Neurospora crassa OR74A: one gene and its partner. The protein of the gene in region 1 purifies or fractionates together with the protein of each later gene. This does not show direct contact. Links are inferred from orthologs where the notes say so. Each region holds a gene or a part of one and is shown in the gene's direction. Other genes may lie near its edges.

Region 1 (4,010 bases):
TTCGACTCTTCTGCCGAATCGATAGGATATGGAGGGTTCAGGTCCAGGAAAAAGAAGGGTATCTTGACAGCAAGAGGAAAAAAAGATGTGCAAAGCAGGAAAAAAAAGAAACTGTACCCGTACTCGGTGGCTGAGGTGGCACGTTACCCTGGGCTGGACTTGGTTTAGGATCCAGTGATGACGATCATAGACGAATGACAGTGGTTCGGTGTTTGTGAAGAACAGAAATTTCGGCTGTTGCGGATGCCCGGCCATGAGTGCGAGTGGGAATCAGCCGGCGCGTGTCCTGCGTTGCGCTTCAGGTGGTTGCACCGGGCTCCCCAGCTCACTGCCCTGGTCCGTTACCCCAATTGCGGCAAGGCGTGATGACATTGGTGGGTGGTGGCCTTTCAAGAGCAGCAACAGCACACAGCGACGCGACCTTGCATGTGACAACAGGAAGTTGAGACTGAACTGAAGGAAGACGGTTGGGCGTGAATGCCGCCATTTTCAGTTCATGCCAGGCGTTGCTCGATATACCTATACCATAGTATATTGCCGTGCCTTGTTGAAAAGAGACTTTGTACTCTGCTCAACCGTTGACGTTCATCACCTTGGTCGATCTCGGTTGATGGGGATTTCTTTGTACACAATCTCCTCATCATGTAAAAGTGGTTCAAGCGTTCTTAGCATGTTTGCCTATCATGGACTTGAGCAGACGGCCAGTCGTCAAACAAGGTTGGATGAAGACGACGTAGACTTCAATTTTGGGAGCCACTGGAGCTTAGTCGAGCTGAATATTGACACCTTCAGTTGTAGCATTACACTACCTATACCATGTAAGCAAATAAGATCAAGCCTTTGTCAGGTTGCCGTGGCTGCGTGGGTTCTTCGATGAGACCCACATTCCAATATCTGATAATTGCACTAGTAACAACAGACGATCGTGAAGATCCGAAAGCTGTCTATTGATATTCACGATACAAAACGGCTTGAGCGCACATCTGGGATATAATTAGTATAAGTCGTGAGTTGTCCAACGAATTTCTGAAATCTAATGGGAAGATCTTTAGGTTTGGACCGATCAAATTGGATTCGAAAGAAGTGAAGGCTGCTGTGTACTGTATGCAACTTGCGAGGTTACGCTCACGCTAGCTTTATCGATAGGCAGATAAGATAAGGATTGTTTGGATGGTCGCCAGGCCAATTTTTGTTTCAACAGCATCGCACTGCTATCACCACGGGCAATACGCAGAGCTTCAGGGATCGATTACAACGCCCCGATACTCCGCCAACCACATAATTAACATGGCGCCTACCCAACCACAGACTAAGGTCCGGAAGCCTCCAAGGTCTTGGGACGCTCTCACGCCTCCTCTCGCCCAATGGATTCTTGACTACCTCTCCTCCATGGGCTTTACCCAGCCGACTCCCGTTCAAAAGTCATGCCTTGAGCTCTTCCGTGGAAATAAAGATGTTGTCGTCGAGGCCGTAACAGGCAGTGGAAAGACACTTGCCTTTTTGATTCCGGTAGTTGAGGTAAGCCGGATCTCTTGCTGTCTACCAGCTCAGGATGATCATATGCTAACCGATTCTGCAACAGAAACTCCTGCGCGGCGAAGAACCAGCCAAGCGAAACCATGTCCAAGGCATTATCATCTCGCCCACCCGCGAACTTGCAACCCAGATTTACAATGTCCTCGTTTCCCTCGTCAAGTTTCACGAACCCTCCGCTGAAGCCATTTCCCACGCCAAAAGCGACGAGAAGCGCCCAACAGCAACCCAGCCTGTCGTTGTCCCCCAACTACTTGTCGGAGGCACCACCAAGGCTGCTGAGGATCTCGGTACATTCCTTCGTCTTTCCCCGAATCTCCTAATTGGCACTCCCGGCCGTCTTGCCGAACTCTTGTCGAGCGCATACGTCAAGGCTCCCGCGTCTACATTTGAGGTTCTCATTATGGATGAGGCCGATCGCCTTCTCGATATGGGTTTCGCGAACGAGCTCAACCGCATTCTCGGATATCTTCCGAAGCAGCGCCGTACTGGTCTTTTCAGTGCTTCGCTCAGTGACGCCGTTGAAAGGCTGATTACAGTTGGTCTATTGTACCCACACAAGATCACCGTCAGAGTGAAGAGTCTGAAGGACGGTGGCATAATTCAAGAGAGGAAAACACCAATGTCTCTACAGATGAGCTACCTTGTTACCCCAGCCAGCCAGAAAATGCCAGCAATTGTCCAGCTCCTCGAAAAGCTCGAGCCCAGGCCCCAGCGATCCATCATCTTCTTCTCTTCATGCATGGCCGTCAAGTACTTCAGCCGCATTCTCGGCGCCGTCCTGCCCGCCGGTTTTTCCGTCACCTCCCTGCACGGCAAACTCGAACCTAAAGTCCGCGAAAAGAACTATGAGCGTTTCGTCAACACCACCTCGCCCATGGTCCTCCTCACCACCGATCTTGCCGCCCGCGGTCTTGATATCCCCCAAGTCGACCTCGTTATCCAGCACGACCCGCCCACGGACACCAAGGTTTTCATTCACCGCTGCGGTCGTGCCGGCCGTGCCGGTCGTCGGGGTCTCGCCGTCGTTCTGCTCCAGCCGGGTCGCGAGGAAGGCTACGTACAGCTTCTTGAAGTCCGTCAAACTCCCATCACGCCCCTGGAGAAGCCCGCCATTTCCGTCACCCCTGATGAAGTCGAGCGCGTCTCCGCCGCCTTCCGATCGCAAGCCCTCGCCGACCGCGAGATCTTCCAGATGGCCCAGCTCGCTTTCGTTTCCTGGACGCGCTCCTACATCGAACACCAAGCTTCTTCCATCTTCCGCATCGCCGACCTCGACTGGCTCGACCTAGCCAAGGGCTACGGCCTTCTCGAGCTGCCCAAGATGCCCGAAGTCCGCGAAGCCAAGATCGACCGCTCTCTGGGTCTGGGCATCAACACGGAAGAAATTCCTTTCAAGGACAAGGTGCGCGAGAAAAAGCGTCAGGAAGAGCTGGCCAAGTGGAAGGAGGAGAAGGCAAAGCGGGCACAGGAAGAGAATACGGGCGACAAGCGCAAGAAGAACGAGGCGTGGAGCGGCAAGGCGGAACAGGAGGAGACGAAACTGCAGAGGCGCGAGAAGAAGAGGAGAAAGAGGGAGGCCAAGAAATTCAGCGAGATGACGGAGAAAGAGAAGGAGGAGCATCTCAAGCTGGAGCAGATGATTGAGGAGGTGAGGAAACGGAACGAGGCCAAGGCGGCGGAGGAGAGGGCAGCTGCGCTTGCGGCGAACCCACCCAAGCCGAAGGCTCCGGTGAAGAAGGTGGACGATAGTGATGAAGAGTTTGGTGGGTTTGATGATTGAGTAGCTTCTTGGGTAATGGGAGTTGATGGTAATGGTTCATTTTCTAAGACGTAAAGGCGTATGAGGCGTATATACCCTTTTGATGAATTGGAATTTTGTTGGTTCTTGGCATGCTGTATCCATGAGTCCTCATGGTAATCATGATAATGGGTGTACTCGAAAAGTACAGCTGTTTTGCCTGAGACAATATCTATCATAACACCCAAATGGAGACACAGTATCGATATCACAAATGTTCTCGAAATTCGAGACATTGTGGTAACAAAGTGTTCGTATGAACAAACCAAACCAATGTATTCAGTCCACTACATCACACCTTCAGTATACTCTTGCTCGCATGCATGCGTCTTGATTTTATCTTCTAGGCAATCTTCAAACTCCTTCCTGAACCAAATAATCCCTAATAGACTCTGGACGGCGTGGTTCCAAGTCATAAGGAGGCATATCACAGCCTTGCAACGGCCTTCCTTCCCTAGTAGGATGGATAACGTTGAAGTGTCCATGTTCGGTTTTGTTCTCTCAACCACACGCCGGGTTAACATGATTAGAAGTGGGACAAGGTTTTGCAGTTAATTGAATCTTTATTGTCTGAGCTGTAAGGACCATCATGTTCAGAGAAAAACATGCATTGTACCGGAACCAAATTCGATGTTCTCATTCATCAGTATGCCTTTGACTGTGATTCAGGCGAAGA
Region 2 (10,092 bases), on another chromosome or scaffold:
TTCCCCTTGAAAGTAGAAGTGGAAAAGGGGAGTTCTATCATCCTATCTACACGTGAGTTCGCGATTGTGCGGGGTGGGCATCTGCGGATGGGGACAACGAGAGCTCACGTCAGAGGGCGACAAGGAGTGAGGGCTTCGTTGTCACGTCCTGCTCTTAAACTTGCGACTGTTTCAGCCGAAATCGCACCATCATATCGTATTTTGACCAATAGACGACTGGCAAGATTTCAAGCCTTTTCTTTTCCTCAACATTACGGTCCATTGACCATCGCTATCAGGTACCCGCATAGGTAGGTTGCCCTTGCTGGGGTTAGGTTGGCAACGTCTCTGTCGTACTCATCAATCTCGGCAGAGCTTCGATCCCCCCCATCTTCCAACAAGCCCACCGGCATTTGACATACCCCACGATACGTGCCACAAGGTCCAACGACAACAACCCATCCATCAACATAACCACCCCATCCTTATAAGGCTATTCCCAATCCCTACCTGACCCTCCGAAGCAAATAAATGACGCTAGAGCTCCATGTCTGGGGCCCGGCTTTCGGCCTCCCCTCTATCGACGCCGAATGCCTTGCGACCGTTACGTACTTTGCGCAAACCCTAAGTGCCGCCGACTACCTGCTCGTACAGAGCAGCCCCTCTGCCGTTCCATCCCGTAAGCTCACCATATCCAGTGTCACTCAACCAGTCGCCATCTCAGACACACCCCAGCCCCGATTCCCTCCAACGAGCAAGTGCCCGCTCCATCCTCCCTCCGGCGCAATTTCATTCTCGTACGGTTTTCCCATGTCAATTCCATCAAGCTAACGGCCAAATCCCATTCATCTCGATACAGATCACCTCCCGGCACTCTACAACCCCTCCACGGCAACATGGATCTCCGGCTTCGACCCTATCGTCAACTATCTCTCCACCCTTCAACCACCCTCTTACCACCACCCTGACGTCACCACCCTCCCCTCACGCGTATACGCCGACTCTCAAGCTTACAAGGCCCTCCTGACCTCCTCGGCCGCCCCGCTCCTTGCCCTGTCCCTCTATGTCTCCTCGGCCAACTACTCTGAAACCACTCGACCCGCCTACAGCGCCATTCTCCCGTTCCCCTTACCGTGGACGGAGCCGCTCGCCGTGCGGGCCGCCATGGCCGCGCGCGCGGCGCACCTGGGTATGAGCAGCCTGGATACGGACGCGGAGATGGAGCGGCTGGAGAGGGAGGAGCGGGAGCGCGAGGCTGCGGGTTGGGTGCAGATCCCGAAGGCGCTGAGGAAGGCGGTCGGCGGGCAGAATAGCGGTGTCAAGGGCCAGTTGAGTCCCGAGATGAAGAGGAGGATCAAGTTGGAGGGGCTGGCGGCGGAGGTGTTTGATGTGCTTGGGGAAGTTGATTTCCTGGAAGAAGAGGACGGGGAGGAGGAGGAGGAGGAGGAGGAGGAGGCTAAAGAGGGCGGTGCAAGGATCAAGGTGACGCTGGAGACCAAGTGTCTTGCGTTTGCTTACCTGGCGCTCATGCTGCTTCCTGAGGTGCCGAGGCCTTGGTTGAAGGAAGTGTTGCAGAAAAAGTATGCCGGATTATGCAAGTTTGTGCTGGAATACAGGAGAAAGACGTTCCCTGACAGCGGCAAGGTGCTGCCGTGGGCGGATAGAGAGAGTGATCCCGCTGTCAGTGCCTGCGACTCGGCGCTCAGTATCGTTGGGCGGTTTGTGAGGGCCGTAATTGACGATATCCCAATGCTTGGACGGGAATGGAGCAGGTGGTGGGCGTTGAGGCAAAGAAGGGTAGCTGAAGAGAACTCTGCCGAGACACAGCTCGTTGTAAGGAGAAGCGTTGGTGAGAGTGAACGCAGTCTCTTGCTGGCTGGTGCCGGGTTGACTCTGCTGGCTATCAACGTTGCCGGCCTCGGTATTTACTGGTACCGATACCGAGGGTTGCTGGGCGCGCCGTTACAGACGTGGCATAGGCCACTGGTAGGCTTGGGCAGCTTTGGGGCGGCAGGAGCCATGTTCGCTGGTCTTGCATGAAGACGTTGAGGGTAGAGAACCTTGGGGGAGTGTATGATATGTGTCTATGATGGAAACTTGGAATGATACGAGAACGGATGAGGATACCCAATGGGAAAGCGATACAGGGTGAAGTTGGTTACAGCAAAGAAGATCCCATACGATGCATTGTAAAGCTCATGCGCAACTGATGCCATTTAGCAGATAAACAATTGTAATTGAGTGATCACCCCAAGAGTCACTAGGCCTTCTTCCAACATGCGAGTTTTTCTCTGGATTCTCTCGTTCGCCGCTGACAACCCCGGATTATCTGTCTGGCTATGTTCCATTCTATCAGCGGCCTTCACTTTTGGTCCCATCTCAACATGGCTTTACTTTACACTTAGCATGTGGACTTGCCTTTCGGTTCCCTGTGGGTTTAATGAGTACGAGTGAAGGAATGAGTTCGAAGGCTGCGTGCGTGCTTAATCACTGCACCAACAGCCCTCACACTTCAGTGCGCTGGGAATCACGCATAAAGGGGTAATCTTGAAAGGGCATGGGTGACGCGGACAGGCGGGAAGGGGACGTTTTTGCACCATTGGAAGACGTGACGAATTGATGGATATGTGCGGAAAGCGCCGAGATGATGTGGAGTGAGATCAAACTAGAATGATTGTGAAGCAGAGAGATGCCTCTAGTTGGTTGTCGATGTCTGGATATATACCAAGTACGGAATCGGTGACAGGATGACCATGAGTCTTTCCTTCGTTGACACTCGATGATAATGATGTAAATAAACGTACTAAACTGTTATATTACATTTGCCTTATGTTTGTTGTAGGCCTCTCAAATCTGACGAATCTCCTTGCCGGCCATTTCGGGTCGCTCAACCTCCCACTCATCCCTCAGGACAGCAAAGGCGAGATCGCAGACCAACAAGCTCAGTCCAAGGCCCCAAACAAGCGTGATAGCATAGAAGAAGTTTGCGTTTCCGCTACCAGCATAGATCCACAGATGGTAGAACGCAGGACCGAGAAAGGTCGTGTAAATAATAATGGCAGCAATGACAAACGAATACCGCAGCAACGGGAAGACATGTCTATACAGCGGCACCATGCCCAAGAACAACGACGCATCCGCGATGCTAGGGTATGGCTTGAAGATGCTGAAGATACCCAGCAGCAGAGTGATCACCGCAAGCGGCTGCTGGCGAAGGCGCACGCTCAACCCGCCAACATATGACGACAAATGCAGCCAAAAGACGGCCAAGAAGAATGAACGGAACGAGTCGAACATCTCGACAAAGAAGTACCACCACAGGCCGATATTGGGGGCCAGGTCAGACAGTGTAAGTTGCACACCATAGGTGGAACTAAGGAACTCCCATGAGCCGGTCAGGAAGAACGACATTTGGAAAAGCACTGCCAGAGCACCAAACGCATCCATAACCATGGTCGCGGTAAACTTGATCCACGCATTGGGCGCTCCGGTAGCGGGCAACTTCTGCCTGTCATAGCAAAGAAGAATGAGAGGCGGGAGGAGGAGTAGCGGATACATGGAGAGGTATGATGCGAAGGCTAGGGCGACCATGGCGTGAAAGGGTCTGCCGGAGATGGCATTGGCGACGGCGTGGAGAATGGCACAGGTCGTGAAGACGGTGGTCGAACGCCCAATGCATGTCGCGATGGTGAAGGGGTTGAACAGGAAGAGCGCGGCAATGATGGCACCACTCCAACGCTTGTCACGGCGCGGGGAGGTGAAGCGCGCAGACGAGCTGGCCTCGCCAGACTCTGCAATCCTTAAAAGAGCATGGGCGCTCAGAATATCGATAGCGATGTAGAGAAGGTACGTGAAGATGGGAAACGCCGCGAAGCTCGGGAGCAAGTTGAAGATGGGCAGCAAGAGGGGCGCCTGGTGGTAGACGCCGCCATCGTAAGGAGAGACGTTATGGTTATACAGGAAGAGGCCTTCTTGGACTAGATTTTGGTAGTTAGCAAACCTGTGTTCCTCGAGACGATGCGACGAATGCCGAAGAGAAAAACAAAAGCTACAACATACGGCGCTTGAAGCTTGTTACTGGCGTTGAGATCTCGACACGGCCAGTCAGGAGGTCTGGAAGACCGGGGAACAGAGTAAAGAGGGCAAGTCGCAGGACGGCAGCACCGGCGTATAAGCCAGCCGTCCTCCTCAACGTTACCTTGCCGCCATTCATTGTTCAATTCGCCATACGACGAGGTGGGAGCTGTGATGTCGAACTTGTCCCAGGGTCAAGTTACTTCTAACGACATGCCCGTCCAGTTGCGCTATACAGGAGTCGCGCCCAGCACGTTAGGTCGCCTTGTCAATCGCTGTCCCCGCCAAAGCAGACCGACAGCTGGCCCGGCCTCCACAGCTGGCGGGTCCCTGTGGGACAAGGGGTTCTGGAATCCAATCCAGACGGGAGCGGGAACCTATCTGGGCCAGACGGGCCCAGTATGTATTCTAGTAGCCTCATCTGTGCCTATCTGATGCCTCCCGTCTTTCCATCCGCTACGTTATCTTATCTTTGATCAGCTCAGGCGGTGGGAAGTGGCATAAAAAGTTCAGGACCGCGAGGGTCAGAAAAAAAGTTGATTGCAAGTGCACAGAGCGCCCCCACCTACAATTGGCTTCGATAACGATCGAGTCTGCAGACTGAAGAGATCCATCCTTGGTCCTCTTCTCCTTCTCTCACTCTTCCACCTACACCCAACAACCACAACCACCACCACCACACCCCAAAATGCCAAAAATCAAGAAGAAGGGCCAGGCCGGCGCGGCCAAGAACTACATCACCCGCACACAGGCTGTGAAGAAGCTGCAGCTTAGCCTTCCCGACTTCCGCAAGCTTTGCATCTGGAAGGGTATCTACCCGCGCGAGCCTCGTAACAAGAAGAAGGTTTCCAAGTCGGCCACTGCCTCGACCACCTTCTACTACACCAAGGACATTCAGTACCTCCTCCACGAGCCCCTTCTTCAAAAGTTCCGTGACCAGAAGGTGCTCGAGAAGAAGATCTCCCGTGCTCTTGGCAGAGGTGATGTTTCGGATGCCGCCCGCTTCGAGCGCCATGCTGCCCGCCCCGAGGCCACTGGCAAGCCCAGGTACACTCTCAACCACGTCATCCGTGAGCGCTACCCGACTTTCAACGACGCGCTCCGCGATCTCGATGACTGCTTGTCCATGCTCTTCCTCTTCGCCAACCTCCCTTCCACGAGCGCGGTTCCCGCCAAGATGATCGCCCGCTGCGAGCGTCTCTGCCTCGAATTCCAACACTACCTTATTGTTTCCCACAGCCTGCGCAAGTCGTTCCTGTCGATCAAGGGTATCTACTACCAGGCCAACATCCAGGGCGAGGATATTCTCTGGCTCGTTCCCTACAAGTTCAACCAGAGGATCGTCGGCGATGTCGATTTCCGCATTATGGGCACTTTCGTCGAGTTCTACATGACTCTTCTTGGATTCGTCAACTACCGACTTTACAGCTCGATCGGCCTCAAGTATCCTCCCAAGTTCGACCAGCTCAAGGACGAGAACGGTGCTGAGCTCGGCGCTTTCTCTCTGGAGGGTGTCAACATGGCCACCCAGGGCGAGACCAAGGCCGTCACAAACGGGGAGGAACAACAGCAGGGTCCTGACCCCAAGGTCCAGGCTGAGGTTGACAAGATTATCAAGCAACTGAAGGAGGACGAGTCCAAGAGCGACGAGACTGCCGAGGAAGATGCCGAGGCCGACGATGAGGAGAAGCCCACAGACTCCATCGACAAGTTCGAGCCAGTTGCCCCTGGTGGTGATGTTCTTCCTCAGCCGGCGTACAGCAGCAGTGACCCTTCGCAGCTGTTCGCCAACTTCACATTCTACCTCTCCCGTGAGACCCCCCGCCAGCCTCTCGAGTTCATTCTTCGTGCCTTTGGCTGCAAGAGGATAGGCTGGGATTCCGTCCTCGGCGAGGGTGCCTTCACAAATGACGAGTCGGATCCCTCCATCACCCATCACATCATTGACAGGCCAGTCGTACAAGCCGCTACCAACGAGGATGGCGATGGCGAGGACAATCAGACGGCCCAGAAGGTCGGACCCAACCAGAGATACCCCGGCAGGATATATGTCCAGCCCCAATGGGTATGGGACTGCGTCAACGACGAGGAACTCAAGAGCCCTGAGCTCTATGCTCCTGGCGCCGCTCTCCCTCCCCATCTTAGCCCCTTCGTCAAGGCCGCCCCTGGCCAGTACGATCCTACTCTGCCCCTTGAGGCTCAGCAAACCGAGGCCGAGGCTATTGAAGCCGACCTCGAGGATGCCGAGAAGGGTAATGCTGAGGATGGTTCCGATGTCGAAAACGACATGGATGTTGATGAGGCCGAGGACGATGAAGAAGAGGAGGAGGGTGACGAGGAGGATGCCGAGGAGGCCGAGGAGGAGGATGCTGAGGAAGATGAGGAGGAGTCCAAGACCCTCCAGCGTCAGCTTGAGCTAGAAGCCGAGCTCCAAGGCAAGAAGGTGCAGAATACAAAGGTAGACTCCAAGACCAAAGCCAAGCTAGAACAGCGCAAGGCTCTTGAAAAGAAGGCACGCGAGGAGGCGGAGGACCTGGAGCGCGCCAAGGGCATGCTGAGCAAGAAGAAGCGCAAGCTGTTTGAGCAGATGCAGTATACCAACAACAAGAAGAGCGCTCAGGACGAGAAGCTCCGCGCCAAGAGGAGAAAGCTGGAGAAGGAAAAGGCGCAGAAGGCGTAAGGTTAAAACACTGGCAAGGCGTAATTTTTTAGCACTTTATGTTTTGAAATGGGATACCAAAGGCTCATTTTTCTCTTTTCTTTTTGTGTAATCGACAAGTTTTGAATCCTACTCGTCGTCCTGAACTGATGCAAATGTGAATAATCGTGACATGAAAACGAGCGCCCACGAGGCTTTCGTCTGAGGGTTAGGGGTCGCTACGAACCAAACCGTAACGCCCAAGAGAAGTTGGAACGAACCGAAAATAGGACCAACGAAAGGTGAGAGTACAAAGTAAAAGAATTGAGTGAGGAGTCAGAGGTTCATCAGTTTCTCCATCCTTGTTGCTGTGGTACTACTACTGGGATGCTTTCGTACGTCAGTGCGGTTCTTCGACCTTCAATCTCTTGTCACTCCCGTCCTTAGTGATTGATCACCAGAATTTGCACTCAACAACCCTGCCAACGCGGGAAGAGCACCCACTAAACTGGGCCATGCAATGTCTTCACACTTGAATCAAGAAGATTCCGGCGACGAGGATTGGGATAAGGACACTGAAGAGATTAATTCCATCGCATCAGATGAACTGCACGAAACCCGCCCCAATCGGTGGAATGGGGCCCCCTCCACATGGCTCACATTCACCGCGCACGAAAGAAAGGCCTACCAAGCGTTAGAGGGCTTGCGCAGGCGAGACTTGTCAGCACATCTCTACAACGCGCACGCATTGCGAACCCGAGCCAAAAGGCAGGAGACCAAAGAAGTGAGTCTACCGAGTCAGTTTAGAAAAGCAAAAGCTAACAATTGCTCAGGCGACCAACGATCAGCCTGAAGACGAAGACGGTTCACAGCGCAGAGAGAATGAATGGGCTCCGAGCCACCGATGGACGGCTTGGCCACTGAGGACTGGTGAGGTGGTTGATGATGAGCTCCTCCCGCGGACCGCAGACGAGCACGAGGCTTTCACGCTGCGTCCGCCCGTCCGGACTTACCCCAGCAGGAATCTAGAGGAAGAGATTTCGGCAACAATTTTACGATGTGCCAAGGAAAAGTTCCGAAGCAGAGGCTTCCCCGAAGAAGACGACGAGGATGATCACTCCGCCATACACGCGATGGGCGAAAGGAACGATGGCGTTGTGGACTCGATAGAAAAGGGCGACAACGACCATCACCACCATGCCGAATCCAGTCAGGTGCTATCCAGCCCGCCACGGCGCAACGACGAGTCGGCCCGGTATAGCGTACCACTCTCGAGCCCGGTCAAACGTGAGCCGGTCTCCCAAGACGAGAGCAGTAAACAAGAGGGCTCTGCTTCGTATACCCCCAGCTCTTCACGTCGACGTCCTCGAGCTCCTACGCCTACCTACATTCCTGGCCCATCAGTCGATGACGACAGATCCTACAAACTGCTCCGTCCCGCATCGCGGCGCATCCTCTCAAAGCTGGACGAAACCTTGACAATACTACACAACGCCCGCGTCGCCGGTCTCCGCGACCTATCCGAATCTTCTGCTAGTGACACTGAGGATAACGACAACGACGCCGAAACGGAAGAGCCTGATCGACAGCAGCAGCAGCAGCAGCAGCAGCAGCGCACACTAAGGGGAAGACCCCGTGCGCGCTCCCCATCACATTCCGCAGAAGCGACAGCGTCCGAGGCTAAATCAAATTCGCCGCGAGGAATCAGCAAGCGAGGGCGTAAAAGAAAATTACGCATTCCCCTCGAGGGCGAGACCGAGCAGGAAATGCTTGAACGCGTCGCCCGCGAGACGCACAAGCGGATACCCTCTTTCTTTCGCTCCCGGGCTTCCTCCTCTCATACTACCGACGACGCCGACGCTGACGCCGACGAAACAGCTTCTGAAGCCGAAGCCCGCGGGCCGCCAAGGTCATACCAACTACCCTCCTCCAAGAAGAAGACAACGGAACGTCCCAATAGGCACAGGGCCAGAAGCAGAAGCAGAAGCAGAAGCAGAAGCGTAACCAGCACCGCCGCCTTGACCGCCGCCCAAGAAAAAGACCGCATGGGCCGCGTCGCACGCTGGGGTCTCCGCGACTGGCGCGACGTCCTCGGGGCAGCTGCCCTGGCTGGGTTTCCGCAGAGCGTGATTGCTCGCGCGACGCAGAGATGCGCTACGCTTTTCGGGGAAGAGATGGCGATGCATACCCTTTGTTCTTCTTCCTCTAGGCGTGTCAAGACGAAGATTTACCACCCCGGCGACCCGCTCCCCGACTCTTCTGAAGAGGAGGTGGACGCCACTGATATTGCGTTGGAGCAGAGACGGACGGTTAGTCGACAGCCGAGTCTTGTGAGGACGTTTTCACCTGATGTCGATGATGAGCAGCAAGAAGGCGAGGAAGTCACGAAGGGTGTTGAAGCTGCTTCTGAAGCGGGAACAGAAACAGAAAGGGCACGCGGTAGAAGCGAAAGCCCGGCCCGTAGCAGGAGCAGAGCTAAAAGGGCGGGTACACCCGCACTCGGTGGCGGGCTTAGGGTGAGGAGACGGTCGGTCACGCCGGCGGCCGGAGGGGATGTGTATTTCTGCCCGTACCCTGAGTGTGCGAGAGCTGTGGAAGGGTTTGGGAGAAGAGCGAATATGCATCGACATTTGAAGCTTGTCCATGGGCGGAGTCCACCTGCTTCTCCCGCAGGCTCTGTGGTGGGAAGGGATGATCAAGATAGTATGGATGAGATGGAGGGTGGTATACATTTGGACGGGTTTTTGCAGCCGATTAAGGTGCGGAAGGGGTGGAGAGGAGGGGATCTAATACAGAGGGAGAGGGAAAGAGGGAGAGGGAAAACGAGGCCGGAGTATGGGTCGGATGTGGATATGAAGCTTGGGAATGATGAGACTAGAGGACATGATTTCGACCTCTGAAACAAAGTAGTCTCGATATCTCATGAAGATTTCAAGAGATAGCAAGATCTGAACTGGGAAAACTGCTGTTATGGAAAACTGTTGCGGATGCTCTTTACCATACCAAGGTCTCACTTACCACTACCATCTCTCTGAGGCGTCAGGCAACCTTCCCAGGGTACGATCTTAGTAAATTTGTTTCCTCCCTCGATTTACACGTTTCAATGTAATTCTTCTATTTCTTCTTACGCAATGCGAGTGAAGCGGGTGTCTCCAACTTGAGCTTCCTTTGGATCCTAATAGCGCGAATCTTCAAGACATCTCAAACATCCAAGAGGCACAACTTCATTTCTCCTCAGTCAACTGCAACCAGTTCCAGATCTTGATATACGTCCCATCCCGGCCTCCAATTAATTTAACTCCCCGCAACCCAACAATGATTTCCCCTCATCTCCTCCTTTCCTATGACCAAAATTCAGAGGTAGTTCATAAGACACTGAATTTAGTGAATTACTTAATCAG

What was found. The genes of interacting proteins can lie anywhere in the genome.
Region 2: the proteins of NCU03380 (region 1) and NCU00925 purify together in Saccharomyces cerevisiae (affinity purification with mass spectrometry; 8 studies listed by BioGRID, with this or other methods). This does not show direct contact. The link is inferred for Neurospora crassa OR74A from reciprocal best matches to the Saccharomyces cerevisiae genes SPB4 and NOP7.

Annotation. Positions count from the first base shown.
Region 1 is NC_026502.1:904,071-908,080, forward strand, and holds NCU03380 (ATP-dependent rRNA helicase spb-4), read left to right. Parts: upstream 1-1,210; 5' UTR 1,211-1,287; coding exon 1,288-1,518; intron 1,519-1,582; coding exon 1,583-3,316; 3' UTR 3,317-3,627; downstream 3,628-4,010. UniProt on the Saccharomyces cerevisiae protein: ATP-binding RNA helicase involved in the biogenesis of 60S ribosomal subunits. Binds 90S pre-ribosomal particles and dissociates from pre-60S ribosomal particles after processing of 27SB pre-rRNA.
Region 2 is NC_026501.1:6,702,933-6,713,024, reverse strand, and holds NCU00925 (pescadillo), read left to right. Parts: upstream 1-4,613; 5' UTR 4,614-4,741; coding exon 4,742-6,733; 3' UTR 6,734-6,844; downstream 6,845-10,092. Other genes in the region: tob37 (topogenesis of outer membrane beta barrel protein 37), read left to right, coding at 511-658, 839-2,019; gpit-2 (glycosylphosphatidylinositol transamidase 2), read right to left, coding at 2,827-3,956, 4,039-4,192; NCU00926 (hypothetical protein), read left to right, coding at 7,212-7,475, 7,525-9,591. UniProt on the Saccharomyces cerevisiae protein: Component of the NOP7 complex, which is required for maturation of the 25S and 5.8S ribosomal RNAs and formation of the 60S ribosome.